Arabidopsis thaliana: one gene and its partners. The protein of the gene in region 2 interacts with the protein of the main gene of each other region in a biochemical or structural test. Each region holds a gene or a part of one and is shown on either strand. Other genes may lie near its edges.

Region 1 (4,625 bases), on a different chromosome or scaffold from region 2:
AATTTCACGATTCTTGGTGGTGTGGACACATCAATTACGTTGCAGCTTAAGCCAGTCCACAAAAACTGTTTAGGGACACATGGATCGCCCTGCCAGCTGATTCTGTTCAGTCCATAACTAGCTTGAATATTCTTTACAGCAATGACTGAAACATGGTGCAAATTAGCAAGAAATAATACGTGTAAAAAGCTATATGCATATTTGTTCAAAGGCAACATACCATCATTTTGATTTGTTTCTGATTGAGGAAACTCAATGCCCGTGAAAATTTCGAAAGCATTCATCAAGGGTGGAAGAGTCGATTTCGGAGTTTTTATAAGTTGCAGACGACAAAATCCTCCCTCGCATGTCAGTGGTACATTGTTGAACATAACTTGTGCTTCAAATCTGGTAGGACGGAAAGGATCGAAATGAACTTTATTATTTACCACAACTTCGAATTCTCTAGTTTCATTGGCCTGGACTTCCATGATCTCGGCGATGTAAATATAACCGTAAACCTGGTCAGTAGCCGTCTTCAAATTCCAGGTAATGGTCATTGGATCACTGGCATTAGCGGGCATGGCGCCGGTCCTAAGTACATCTTGTGGTGGGTCATAGCCATCTATAGAATCAATAACGTGGTGACTTGTGTTTATATGCGTCCATTCTGGTAATATCAACGGCACCCAAATTCTATCATGCACATCTTGGGGATAACTGCCAAAATCAAGTTATATATTTTACTTTACATCAACTAATAACAATAATTAATACTGTATAATCTTGGTTTACGCTAGATGGCTTAAATGACAATAATATTAAAGTTTTTGTGGAGATTAAAGTTTCTGCTCATAATCTACTTTGGTTATTTATAAAGCATAAGGTGAAAATAAGGTACCGTATATAGTTGTTTGAATCGGTGAAATAGAACCGGTTATAATTCCTCAAGGAACCGGTTTGAGCAATATAAGTATCATATAGCAAGGGTCTCAACTCTATGGATGATATCATTGGTGTACTCGTCCCTGTCTTGACGAGACATATGTCCAAGATGTTAGACCTTGTGATGTGAATGATCTCCTCCAGAACTCCATCACCTGACTTCCCCATATCTATGGTTGTCCAAATATTAGGACCAAGATAGAGGTCGAATCTTGGAGAATTGTTAAGCCCGTCATAGTTTCCATATCGAAACATAACCCTGATTAGATAATTTGTGTCTTGCTTGACATTTAGACTGTAACAATTTCGGATTCCATCCGGAAAGTATCTCAAAACCGTATATGGCTTCCTGAGTTTCATAAGCAAGTCTTTTTGGACATTACCAGTTTTTCCTCCTTGAATGAAATCAGCATCGGATATGTACGTCAGATTGCTATTTGCTTCGTTGTAAGGAGACTCGTTAGAAGCTAATCCACAATCCAAACTGATGAATCCTGGTAAGACCGAAAAGGGAGAGGTACATATTGTTTTTCTTATATAAAGTTCTATCTCAAAAAAAAATTTAGAATGGTTTATTTCCAAAATTATTGTAAAAAAGAAAAACAGATGATAAAAAGACCTTGTTGATTCTGAGATTGAACAAGATGTAAGATGGATAAAGTGGCACACGCAGCAAACAGAAGCCTGGTGCAAGTGTCCATTTTTGATGATTTCTTCGTTCACAACTAACAAAACTTACTACTACCAAAGTTTTGAAATGGACAAATTTTTAGTGTTATAAGCTGCAAATGGAATTAATCATGGTGACGTCTACGTATAAATTTTGTTTTAAAAACTTAAACTTTTGCCATGGTTTTATCTAACGAATAATAACAGCTAACCACTGGTATAATATCCATATAAAATAAATCAAGACGTTAGTGGTTGATTATAAAATTTTTGAAATGAAAAATATGCAACCAGGTTATATACTCTCTATATTTTAAAAATCTCGATTCATTTGTTCACTTTTGCTTATATTCGTGGTTTGATTCTGACACGATCGGTGACTTTGCCATATATGAATATGACATCCCTTCACACACACGGTAATAACTCATTTTCTCAGGTTAATCTACTATAGGTGTGCTTGATGATAACCAATTAGAATCAATCAGTTCTACTAATTTCCACTTGCAAACCTTTTTTATAAAATTTAAACATGACACACACTTGTCAGATTTTATAATTCCACTTGAGAAAAGTCTTACCATAATCAAATTATTAGACAAATTATTTCGAATTTGGTTAGAAGATCGGTCCAACTCAATAGGTGGCTTATTGTTATTGGTATGTGAACGTTGACATATTTCCCGTTATGATCCGCCCCAAGCAGAAATATAAGTTAATAAATAATTATTTAACAATTCATCCGTTTTTTATATCCAAAGGTTTGATTTGGCATGTTTTATATTGCAAGTACATTGGCAATTCGTAATCCTTTTTTTTTTTTGGACAGAGGTGGGAAAATGAAAAACCTCCGTGGACTTCTATTGGCCTTCCTAGTTTTGTCTTTAGGCATTTCCGATTTTCTTCGAGCACAAGATCAACAAGGTATAACTTTTTTTGTTTCAGGTTTTCTTCTTTTAACTTTGACTAAACATGTTTCCTATCACAATTTAGTCATTAATTCAGTTTCCAAACTTATTTTTTTACCAAATTATTTCTCTGTTTTTTTTCTTTTGCCTTTATCAGGATTCATCAGTTTGGATTGCGGGTTGCAAGCCGATGAGTCTCCTTATACCGAACCATTAACAAAGTTAACATTCACATCAGACGCCGATTTCATCAAAAGTGGAAAAAGCGGCAAGATTCAAAATGTTCCGGGGATGGAGTATATAAAGCCATACACGGTTTTGAGATATTTTCCAGATGGAGTACGAAACTGTTATACTCTTATCGTCATACAAGGCACAAACTATCTGATCGTAGCCATGTTTACTTATGGAAACTACGATAATCTTAACACACACCCAAAGTTCGACCTTTATCTTGGTCCAAATATATGGACCACGGTCGATTTGCAAAGAAATGTAAACGGAACAAGGGCGGAAATCATTCACATACCAAGGTCAACTTCTTTGCAGATTTGTCTTGTTAAGACGGGAACAACTACGCCGCTAATATCAGCTTTAGAACTACGACCATTGAGAAATAATACTTATATTCCTCAATCTGGTTCCCTCAAGACATTGTTCCGCGTCCATTTGACTGATTCCAAAGAAACTGTTCGGTAAGCCAACTCAAAACCAATTGGTAATGAATAGATTGGTTTCCACTGGATACACTGTTCGGTAATACTTTCCATCCTTTCTCTTCAGGTATCCAGAAGATGTCCATGATCGTCTTTGGAGTCCATTTTTCATGCCGGAATGGAGACTGTTAAGAACAAGTCTCACGGTCAACACTTCTGATGATAACGGCTATGACATACCGGAAGACGTAGTGGTTACGGCAGCCACACCTGCAAATGTGAGTTCACCATTAACCATTTCTTGGAATTTGGAAACACCTGACGACTTAGTTTATGCATACCTCCACGTCGCTGAGATCCAATCCTTAAGGGAAAATGATACCAGGGAATTCAACATTAGCGCAGGCCAAGATGTTAACTATGGACCTGTTAGTCCTGACGAGTTTCTAGTGGGTACTCTATTCAATACATCACCAGTTAAATGTGAAGGAGGGACATGCCATTTGCAACTAATAAAAACTCCAAAATCAACTCTCCCTCCCCTCCTCAATGCTATTGAGGCTTTTATAACAGTGGAGTTTCCGCAGTCTGAAACTAATGCAAATGACGGTATGTCAGCAAAATCTGAGTATATATATACTTTTTTGTATATACTTAAGTGTTTTCATTCTGTTATTGTGTGTTAGTCCTTGCTATCAAGAGCATAGAAACAAGCTATGGATTAAGTAGAATTAGTTGGCAAGGAGATCCATGTGTTCCTCAACAATTATTGTGGGATGGTCTTACCTGCGAGTACACCAATATGTCTACACCACCAAGAATCCATTCCTTGTACGTCCATGGCTATTCGTAACATTAAAACAGTTTTTTGTTAAGCTCTGCATTTCGTAACATCTTACACTTTAAATGTGTGTTATGATCTTTAATTACCACCAGAGACTTGTCCTCAAGTGAACTAACTGGAATTATAGTTCCTGAGATCCAAAATCTTACGGAGCTTAAAAAATTGTAAGTATGAACACATTGCCAATTTTTTATCAAGGTCAAACACATACTCTGTTTTACCTGAATACTCTGTTTTACTTGAATACTCTGTTTATCAAGGCCAAACATATAATCAATTAATTCATTTTTGCATATGATAGGGACTTTTCAAATAATAATCTAACAGGTGGAGTACCTGAATTTCTAGCCAAAATGAAATCATTGTTAGTCATGTAAGTTACTTGGTCACTCATATGAATCACATTGCCAATTTATTATCCGAGTCTGTTGATGTTTATTTTTTACCTAGGCAGAAACTTAAGCGGAAACAACCTTAGTGGATCAGTCCCTCAAGCTCTTCTCAACAAAGTGAAAAATGGGTTGAAGTTGAAGTAAGATCTTCTCAACTATATTTAGTCTTCAATAGTTGATGGTCATTGAAATATGATATCTTAATTTGCAGTATGTCTTCACTAACACTTGA
Region 2 (4,625 bases):
CTGAAGAGGGAAACAGTAGCAAGCTTGTTTGTTAGATGTTTAAATCAAAATTGGTTATATGATGAATCAGAGGCACTTACTGGGATAGTCTGAGCAATCGGGCTATTTTCCGTGGACGGCCATTGTTTTCTTGATGACAAGCTTTGCTAAAGCTTCCAAGCCTAACTTCAAACTTATCATCCAAGAGAATGCTACTTGCTTGAATATCCCTTATTGAACATTGGAAGACTCAAGATCAGTAATGAACTAATGGTGGCTTGAAAGTAAAAAAAGAGTAAAAGGAATGGTTTTTCATACCTGTGGACGACGGATGGTGAGCAATCATGGTGCAGGTAAGCAAGTCCCTCTGCTACTCCCAATGCTATTTTCAGTCTGGTGATCCAATCGAGAGATCTCAATCCGTTGTCAACTAGGGAATTGGATTTATAGAACAATGAGCTTGGTAAATCCCTATTCAGCATGTACTTGTATACCAAGAACTTATGAGTTGCGCTCTCTAAGCTCTTCCCTACGAATGGGATTATTCTCGGATGCGCAAACCGGCTGAAGAAATCCAACTCGGTTAGATAAGCTTCGTTGTTCTTTGTAGATTCCAAGCTGATTCTTTTCACAACGATCTGAACTCCGTTTTCTAGAACTCCCTTGAAAAGATCCCCAGATTGTCCTTTCTTGATCAGGTTTGAATCACTGAACTCCTTGGTGGCATTGAGCAACTGCTGATAGGTAAATGATGATCCAAGACTCCCAAAGTTTATAGAGACTCCTCCTCTTGAGGGAAGTGTTTCATCAGGAGGTAATGGGCCAACACCGTTGTGTCTTCCTCTAGGATGATTACTTGTTGATGATCTGTTTCTTCGACGGACACAGAAACTCACTGTTATTGGTAACACTATGAGAATGAGCATAAGCAATATAGACCCTCCAACTGCAGCAAGTATAACTATTTTCGTGTGGCTTAACCAGGAAGTTTTAGAACTCTTCTTCTCTTCATGTTGTCCGAAATTGTTGAAAGTTAAGCCCTTTTTTGAATAAAACAAAGTGCAATCCGACAACTTCCGCTGCTTCTCTGGGCCCTGAAGACAATTGTTGCTCAATGAAGCTCTGGTTGGCACAAAGTCAGGAATTTTACCTTCAAAATAGTTTTCTGACAGGTCAACAACTTGGAACCTTGTCAGTAAAAGTGTGAGATTGCCGTAAAACATGTTCCCGGATATGTTAAGCATGGAGACAGTAGAATCAAAACTGACAGTGGTATTAGGCAGCATGTCAGAGAAGTGATTTCCAGAAATATCTAGAAACTTGAGCTCCGGTAACGACCATAACCTGGACGGTAAAGCGCCTATGAAACCACTGCCTCTGAAGTCAATGATCTGAAGTTTACTCAGCAAACTAAACAGATCAGGAGGTAGGGATCCTGAAAGGCGATTTCCCGCAATTACCAATGTCTGCAAGTTCCTTAGCCCTTTCAAATCTGATGGAACCGAACCTGACATTCCGTTGAAGCTGAGATCAAGGTCAATTAAAACAGAGAGGTCTCCGAGTGATGGAGGTATTGAAGAAGTCAAGGTGTTACGCGAAAGATTCAGACGCTGGAGCTTTGAGAGTGCCCCAATATTAGCAGGAATCGAACCAAACACCGAGTTTGAGGAAAGATCAAGGATTGATAGATTCTGAAGAGAGGTAAGAGACAGAGGAATATCCCCATTGATCGCATTCTTTGAAAGATCAAGAACTTTGAGATGTGATAACCGAGTCAAACTTTCAGGGATGGTTCCTGTGATTGAACAGGAGCTAAGGTCCAACACCTCTAAAGTCAACAGACTCGATCCAAACAAAGCCGGGATTGGACCTGGAAGATAGAACCTTGAGGCGTTGAAGGAAGCTAGACGGGTGAGATTGACGAGAGAACCAACTGAGAATTCCGGGTTTTGATTCCCAATCCTTGTCCTTCTGAACCCTGAAATGTTGATCTTAGTTACTCTACCATTCTGATCACATTTGATGCCGTTCCAGTTCAGACAAGGATTGCCTTTTACAGGCCAATCTCTGCTTCGTAACCCAAGAGAAGACCTTAACAGCAGAAGCGCCGATTTCTCATTCAGAGAACTTGTCTGTTGCTCAAACGTTGACTCTAACAACAAGAGGAGGAATAAGAAGAAGACCAACAAGGATGTCTTCCTCAGAACCACCATGGTTTCTCTAAACCCTGGTGACGACTAGTACTTCGAAAAACTTAAAGCCATTCATTGCCTAAGATTCAATTGGAAAAAAGCTTCGCGATTTATGGAAATAATCAAATCTCTTTTTTTTTTGGGTTTCCTTCGAATCCGATCAATAAAGGAAACTTTCTTTTTGTGATTATTCAACAAAGATATATACTAAAAAAGGTTCTTCACTCTGTTACCTCTGCGACTTTCTCTGGCAATTACTTTTCTCTGTGCACTTCAGAATCAAAAACGATTCATTGTTGTTTACCAATCATTTTCTGCTGCCTCTCTCTCTCTCTAACTCTTCCATGTTTTTTTTTGTCCTAGATTTAGAGAGAGAAAGATGGAAAGTCTGATATAATACGAAACAGATATTTTTATATAATATTTGATAAAAACTTCTTCTTACAGAACTGTTCTGGACAGAGAAAGCTTCAGACTGGTCAAGAACAGCGGCCGTTCGAAGAAAAGAGAAGAAAGTATAAGAAAATAAAAAAAGTGAGAGAAGGTGGATCTTTCGTTGTATACGTGCACGTTCCCAAGATTTATGGTTCGATCTCGTGACCGAGACGCAGATACAGTAATTGAAAGTGAAGTTCTGAATACGGCGTCGTTTGAGGAGTTTGACTCTCAACGATCCCGCCCAAGACAGCTTAACGAACTCTTAAATTAATATCATTTCAAAAATACTTAAAGTTTCTGCTGACGTTTAATATGATAACCACCATTTTAGTAGTTTTGCAAATAAATAATTGAATTCCTAGGAGCTACGATGCTACTCCATTTCTGTAAATTTTGTATGACAATTATTTTTCCTCGTATTAAAACGACCAAAATATACTAATAATAATTGTGGCTTTATTATGAGCAAAATGATTTAGTTGTCACTCTTATAAAAAGTCGACGATACTTTTTCATATTACCTGCGATATATTAATAATCAGATTTCTTAAAAAAATCTTAGCCAGGTTATTTCTTGTTGAAAAAGCTCTTCTACACGCTTTAGTCAGCATTTTCAGCACAAAAATCGAAATCAAGATACTGAACCATTTGTAATTGACTTTGTATAACTACTACATCTTCATTCTTCATCCGTCTAATTTTGGTATACAAAATAATTAATCCTGTAAAAAAATAATATTCAGACAGTCAAAATATTTCAAGTACAGAGCGAGTGTATCCAAATATTCAATGATTGAAAATTGAATTCCATTGAAAGATTTATATGTTCACATATCTGCACATCTAGCTTTCATTTGAATATCACTTAACATACCAAAATATTTGTACAACAAAAAACGTCTATGCTAAAGTTTGGATATTACAGACTGTAACATGTCCACGATGCTATTGCGATAAGAATCTTTTCATATGAATTTATTGCATGTCATAATTAATGACAAAACAAATATGTAAATCCATAGCACATTATCGTCATAGTCTTTGCATATTATTTCATTTTATTGTTTTACTAATTTCGCCGTCAGATTCATTGGGCCGGAAGTTATAATCTTTCCAATTAAATTAGATAGGCCCAATAAACGAAACTCAGACCCAACTATTGTATGACATAATGACGACGAGACGAAGGACAAAATTGTCATTTAAGGAATAAAAGATATTCTTACAAAGATATTTTTTGCTCGAAACGAGGAGAAAAAATCATTAGTTATCGAAAATGCTCACATGATGTGGGCCTAACCACTAACCCAATTAACCACACATCTTAATCAGAGTAAGTTGAAACAAATCTTTCAGCAAACCCTAGAAAACATGTTTAACCCTAGTTATTACGTCACACCTGTTCTATAAATTAAGGCTGCGTCTTATCACCTCAAATCACATAAGTCTCTCTCTTACATTTTGAAACCCTAATTTCTCTTCTTTTCCCCAAAAAAAAATGTCTGAAGTTGAGTACCGGTGCTTTGTCGGCGGCCTTGCCTGGGCCACCAATGATGAAGATCTTCAAAGGACGTTCTCACAGTTCGGCGACGTTATCGATTCTAAGGTCTGTTACACGAGAGATCGGTCTCCCGGATCGAGCCGATTCCGATGATTCTGATCCTCGACGGATCTGATTCCGATCTGTTTCTCTGTTACTTGATTCGATTACTGTTACTATGTTCTCTCTCGTTCTTTGTTACTGTTACTTAATTTGTCCCATCGGTACGTTCATCTTCCTGCTTCTATGAGCTCGGAGATCGATCGATTTTTGCTTTATATTCATCGCTTTGTTTTATATTCCTTCCACGATTGTTTTTGCTGATGTGTATGATTTTGTTTGTTTACAGATCATTAACGACCGCGAGAGTGGAAGATCAAGGGGATTCGGATTCGTCACCTTCAAGGACGAGAAAGCCATGAGGGATGCGATTGAAGAGATGAACGGTAAAGAGCTCGATGGACGTGTCATCACCG
Region 3 (4,625 bases), 7.3 Mb from region 2:
CTTCTGAAACCCTATAAGCTTCCATAAATTCGGGTTGTTCTTTCTCATTCTCCTATTCTTGACCACAGCTAAAACGACGAACACCAAGAAAAACCCTAGTAGGCCTAACCCGAAGAACAACTTGAATTTTGCGGAGATTTCACCTCGGGATCTTGCGTTGTTCTGGTTAAGTAGCTGAGATTGAGATTGGTTTTGGGAACCGTTGCAAGGGTTTGAAGAAAATCCACAGAGAAAAGGGTTTCCAAGGAATGACGTGTTGTTGAAGTAAGAGAATTGCCCTGAAGTTGGTACTGAACCGGAGAAGTTGTTGTGTGAGAAATCTGCTGATGTTAAACTCTTCATGTATCCGAGTTCGTTGGGAAGGCTTTGGTTAAAGGAATTCCAAGAAACATTCAGATAGTTTAGAATCCGAATCTGCGATATCTGAACCGGAATCTGACCGGAAATCTGGTTGTGACTCAAATCTAAATATGTGAGTGACATGCAATCACCAAACTCAGGAGGAAACTTGCCTGAGAAGTTGTTTCTGCTCATGTCAATCTTGAGAAGACTCTTCAAACTTCCGATTTCGCCAGGGATCTGTCCCGATAACCGGTTTGCACCGAGAAGAAGAATCTGAAGGCTTCTGAGGTTTCTGATTGAACCAGGAATCGGTCCGGATAACCTGTTGTTGGACAGATTGATCTGAGTAAGGCTCGAAAACTGCGCATTTCCCGCCTCTTCTTCGGGGATTTCTCCAGTCAAAAAGTTGTTTTGAAGCTCAAGAAGCGAAAGATTCGGCAAATAAATCAAACCCTTTGGCAACTTACTTGTCAGAAAGTTCTGTCCGAGACGGAATCTCCATAGCGGTTCACATTGGCCAAGATCTTCAGGGAGAGGACCGAACAAGAAGTTGTTGAAGAGAATGAGAATCTTTAGTCTTCTTCCGAAACAGAGTGACTCAGGGATCAAACCTGTGAGTTTATTGGTAGACAAATCGATCTCGATCAAGTTCCCGTTTGATCCGAGTTTCGAAGGAATCTTTCCGGTGAAATTGTTGTGCCAAAGCTTGAGTATTTGCAGATCAGGAAGCTCAGATACGAACTCAGGGATCTCGCCGTGTAGTCTGTTGAAGAAGAGGTTAAACAACTGAAGCTTTTGAAGTCCAGATAGCTCTAGAGGAATCTCTCCTTCAAGAAAGTTGTTGGAGAGATCAAGAGTCTTGAGGCTTGTCATGTTCCCTAACTCTCGAGGAACAGAGCCTGTAAGCTCATTGGTCTGAAGAAACAGAACCTCCAAGTTCTTGAGATTCCCCAATTCTGCAGGAATTGATCCTTTCAAGCTGCAATTAGCTAAATCCAAATGAACAAGATTGATCAATCTCCCGAAATCTGCAGGTATCCCACCGCGGTAATCGTTGTAGTAACCTAAGTAAAGCTGTACCAAAGTCGTGATGTTCGCTAGCTCGTTAGGGATTCTCCCACGGAGATCATTACCAGATAAAGAAAGAAACTTGAGACTCAAGAAACTTCCATAGCTTCTAGGGATCTCACCGTCGAAGTAGTTTCCTCCAAGATCTAAGTGCTCGAGACGAGTGAGTGTGGTTAGACTCAGAGGAAGTGATCCGTTGAAGCTGTTGTCGTAAGCGTCAAGAGTCACAAGCTGAGTCATTTGACTGAACCCACGTGTCTCCAGCTCTCCTTCAAAAACATTGCTAGAGATGTTTAACACTTCGAGGCCTGAGAGCTCATAGATCTCTTTAGGAAGCTCACCGGAGAAACTGTTAGAAGAAATGTCAAGAAAAACAAGTGACGGCGAAAGACGAGATATTTCCGGAGAGATAGTGCCGGAGATGTTGAGATTAGATAGGTCTAGACGAGTAATAGACTGATTCAAGTTGTCACAAGAAACACCAGTCCAAGAACATAGAGAGTTGAAATTTGGAATGTTCCATGAATCAAGAGAAGGATCATAGGAATCAAAACTTTGCTTTAGAGAGATAAGGACATTTGCTTGTCTAATAAGTGAGAGATTAAGAGGTGAGATCAAAGAAGAGCATAAGAGAGGAGAGATCGAAGACAAGATTAGGAAGAAAGTGAAGATCTTGTCTGCCATTGTAACATCAGAAAAATAAAAACAAAAATTTGTCCGACACGAATCTTGAAGTTCAGAGAAGAGAAAGAGAAGAAGGGTCTTCGCAGAAATCCCAAAAATTTAGAGAAATGGAACGAAGAAGATCATCATCATTAGACATCATCATGCTTTAATGTTTTGGGGGCTCACTATGTTCTGGAGTTGCTCTGCTTATAGTGAGTGGCTTAATAAGTGAAGAGGATAATCATTATTTTCATGCCTCGTTTTTTTATTTATTTTTGAATAAACTGTATTGTGAAAATCATAATTGTAAATTTGAAAGAAAAGTGAAAAAGAAGTTGTAGTATCCAATGCATTCTTCGTCTTTTGGATTGAGCTTTAGTTTTTTTTTTTGTTCTTGTTGGATGAGTCTTTTGCTTTTGAGAAAAGCAAAAGCAATATATATACTTTCACAAAAGATGAGAACACACATCATCGCTTTTTCTTTAATGGAGAAAACTATAAATATTAAACATTAGTGCTTCTTGCCTTTTTTTACCTTCTCTTTATCTTTTGATTTGATTTCCTGTTTTCTTTCGTAATTTTTCTTTTGTGTCTCCCAATTATTGGGATAATTTGATTTAGGTTTCATATATATAAACATAGTCACATAGTCTCCACTAGATTTTCGAGTTCGATTGTGCAATCTAAAGGAAAATAGTTTACCATAAGAAATTAGCAGTTTTATTTCTAGAAGAACAAGTTAAACAATATGTTCTAATGTTTAAATGAGAGATATTATAATAGAAAAAGATTTCTTGCAGCAGATTATTTGTGCACTAAGCTAAGTACATGGCTAACTACAATCAACGGTTTAATATATCTCCCGAGTGAAGATGCCAGAGATTCCGTCTTTAACATTAGTTTTCAAGAACATCGTCATATCATCTGTTTAGAAAGAATACATCCCTAACAACTCTTCCCAAAACCATATACTTTTGGTAAATGATACTTTGAGTACTTCTTACTAAATTGCCGCTTCCTGCAAATAAAATGATACTTTCAAGCTTTAAATTTACCTATGGCATATGCTAATTTTGTATATACGCTTGGGAGACGTTTTCGTTGATAACTTTTTAATAAATAATTAATTCATAGAAATTTGTTGTGTTCCCCTTTTGATTTGTACTTTGTAGAAATATGGAAATCCTCTACATAGGTGATCCAAATTTGAATAAATTGAACTAAGATGAAAAACACATTCTTAAGCAATCCAAATTTGAATGAATTTGTGAGTTTAATAAACAACAAATAAAGTAAAACCAAATTACCTTATCGAATCAAAAAATAACTACTATTTAAGCTTATTGTTTGAAGATCAATGCTTTTTCTTACGTGATTAATGTCTATTCAGTCCATTAAAGGCAACCATATTAAATTTATTTTTTCTATTCGATTATTAGAAAAATAAAATAATAAAGCAAAATAATTTTAAAACATTATTAAGAAAGAAAAAAAACAAAAAAATATTGGAAGGGTTTTAAGAAAACCTTAGAAATCGTAAAATATAAAATTAAGAAACACACAATATCACATGTTGCTGAAATACTTTATTTTAATATATTAAATTTCCATCTGTCTCACTCTTATCATTTTGTCGAACGCATGAATCGATTTTTGTTTTATTTCGGGTGGAATTTATGTACTAGCTATAAATCATATAATTACCCTGAATTAAACATCGTACCTTTATGTCACTCTAACGTTTTATGCTCCATTAACTAAAAAATCAAAATCTAATCCATCAGGTTTAATTAAGAGGCCATGCATTGTCTTTGTCCAACCACTAAATAAGTACAAACCAAACTCCAAAGTAACTAGAATCTTTGGTAATTGTGCATGCAGCTACTTTTGTTTTTTTGTTGTCGTAGAAGAAAGAAATTAATAACTTCTCTGTCAAGGATTCTGTTTCTGTACCCAATGTTTCATCAGCTTATACTCCTCGAAGTTTTCACACCATGAACCTGCAAAAAGATAGTAGTATATGTACATGCCAATCTACAATTATTATCGAATTATTTCGTAATCTCCCCTTTACGATTGTTTTTCTCCTTTTCTATTTTTAATATGTATTTCTATGAAAAGGACTCATCAGATTTATTAGATAAACTAGGGAAGCAGATCAATGTGGTATGTGATCTAAAGGGAAATTATTATTTTTGTAAGAAAAACATCTAAAATAGATAAAGTAATTCCAGGTTGTATAATGGTGAAGAAATTCATGTTGTGGGTTATAAAATTATAGTCGACAAATTAATTAGCAAGAATACATATCTCTTTCATATGATAGCAAGAAGGGTTTGAACTTCGAAAGTACTTGGCGTGGAAAAGTGTGATATGGAATACCTTAAGTTGATTTATTTAACAGAGAAAATCTGAAACAAATCTATCCATCTTTAGCAATTTTATGGGCTCTTTTTAGTTTATTCGATTTTGCTTTGTTTTTAGATTATTAAGATGCCTAAAATTTGAGAAGAACAAAGAGGAGGCCCTCCCCCATCAACTTTACTCGC

What was found.
Region 1: the proteins of AT4G39270 (region 2) and AT1G07560 form a complex in vitro, tested with the Arabidopsis thaliana proteins (one large-scale study listed by BioGRID).
Region 3: the proteins of AT4G39270 (region 2) and BAM3 form a complex in vitro, tested with the Arabidopsis thaliana proteins (one large-scale study listed by BioGRID).

The regions. Positions count from the first base shown.
Region 1 is NC_003070.9:2,324,888-2,329,512, forward strand, and holds the start of AT1G07560 (Leucine-rich repeat protein kinase family protein), read left to right. Parts: upstream 1-2,427; 5' UTR 2,428-2,432; coding exon 2,433-2,517; intron 2,518-2,658; coding exon 2,659-3,196; intron 3,197-3,284; coding exon 3,285-3,766; intron 3,767-3,843; coding exon 3,844-3,988; intron 3,989-4,093; coding exon 4,094-4,165; intron 4,166-4,302; coding exon 4,303-4,374; intron 4,375-4,455; coding exon 4,456-4,533; intron 4,534-4,625. Other genes in the region: AT1G07550 (Leucine-rich repeat protein kinase family protein), read right to left, coding at 1-145, 221-699, 881-1,418, 1,544-1,625.
Region 2 is NC_003075.7:18,274,441-18,279,065, reverse strand, and holds the start of AT4G39270 (Leucine-rich repeat protein kinase family protein), read right to left. Parts: upstream 2,756-4,625; 5' UTR 2,193-2,755; coding exon 298-2,192; coding exon of another isoform or gene 210-297; coding exon 81-209; coding exon of another isoform or gene 77-80; exon of another isoform or gene 1-76. Other genes in the region: CCR1 (cold, circadian rhythm, and RNA binding 1), read left to right, coding at 4,108-4,215, 4,499-4,625.
Region 3 is NC_003075.7:10,947,291-10,951,915, reverse strand, and holds the start of BAM3 (Leucine-rich receptor-like protein kinase family protein), read right to left. Parts: upstream 2,344-4,625; 5' UTR 2,095-2,343; coding exon 1-2,094. UniProt on the Arabidopsis thaliana protein: Necessary for male gametophyte development, as well as ovule specification and function. Required for the development of high-ordered vascular strands within the leaf and a correlated control of leaf shape, size and symmetry.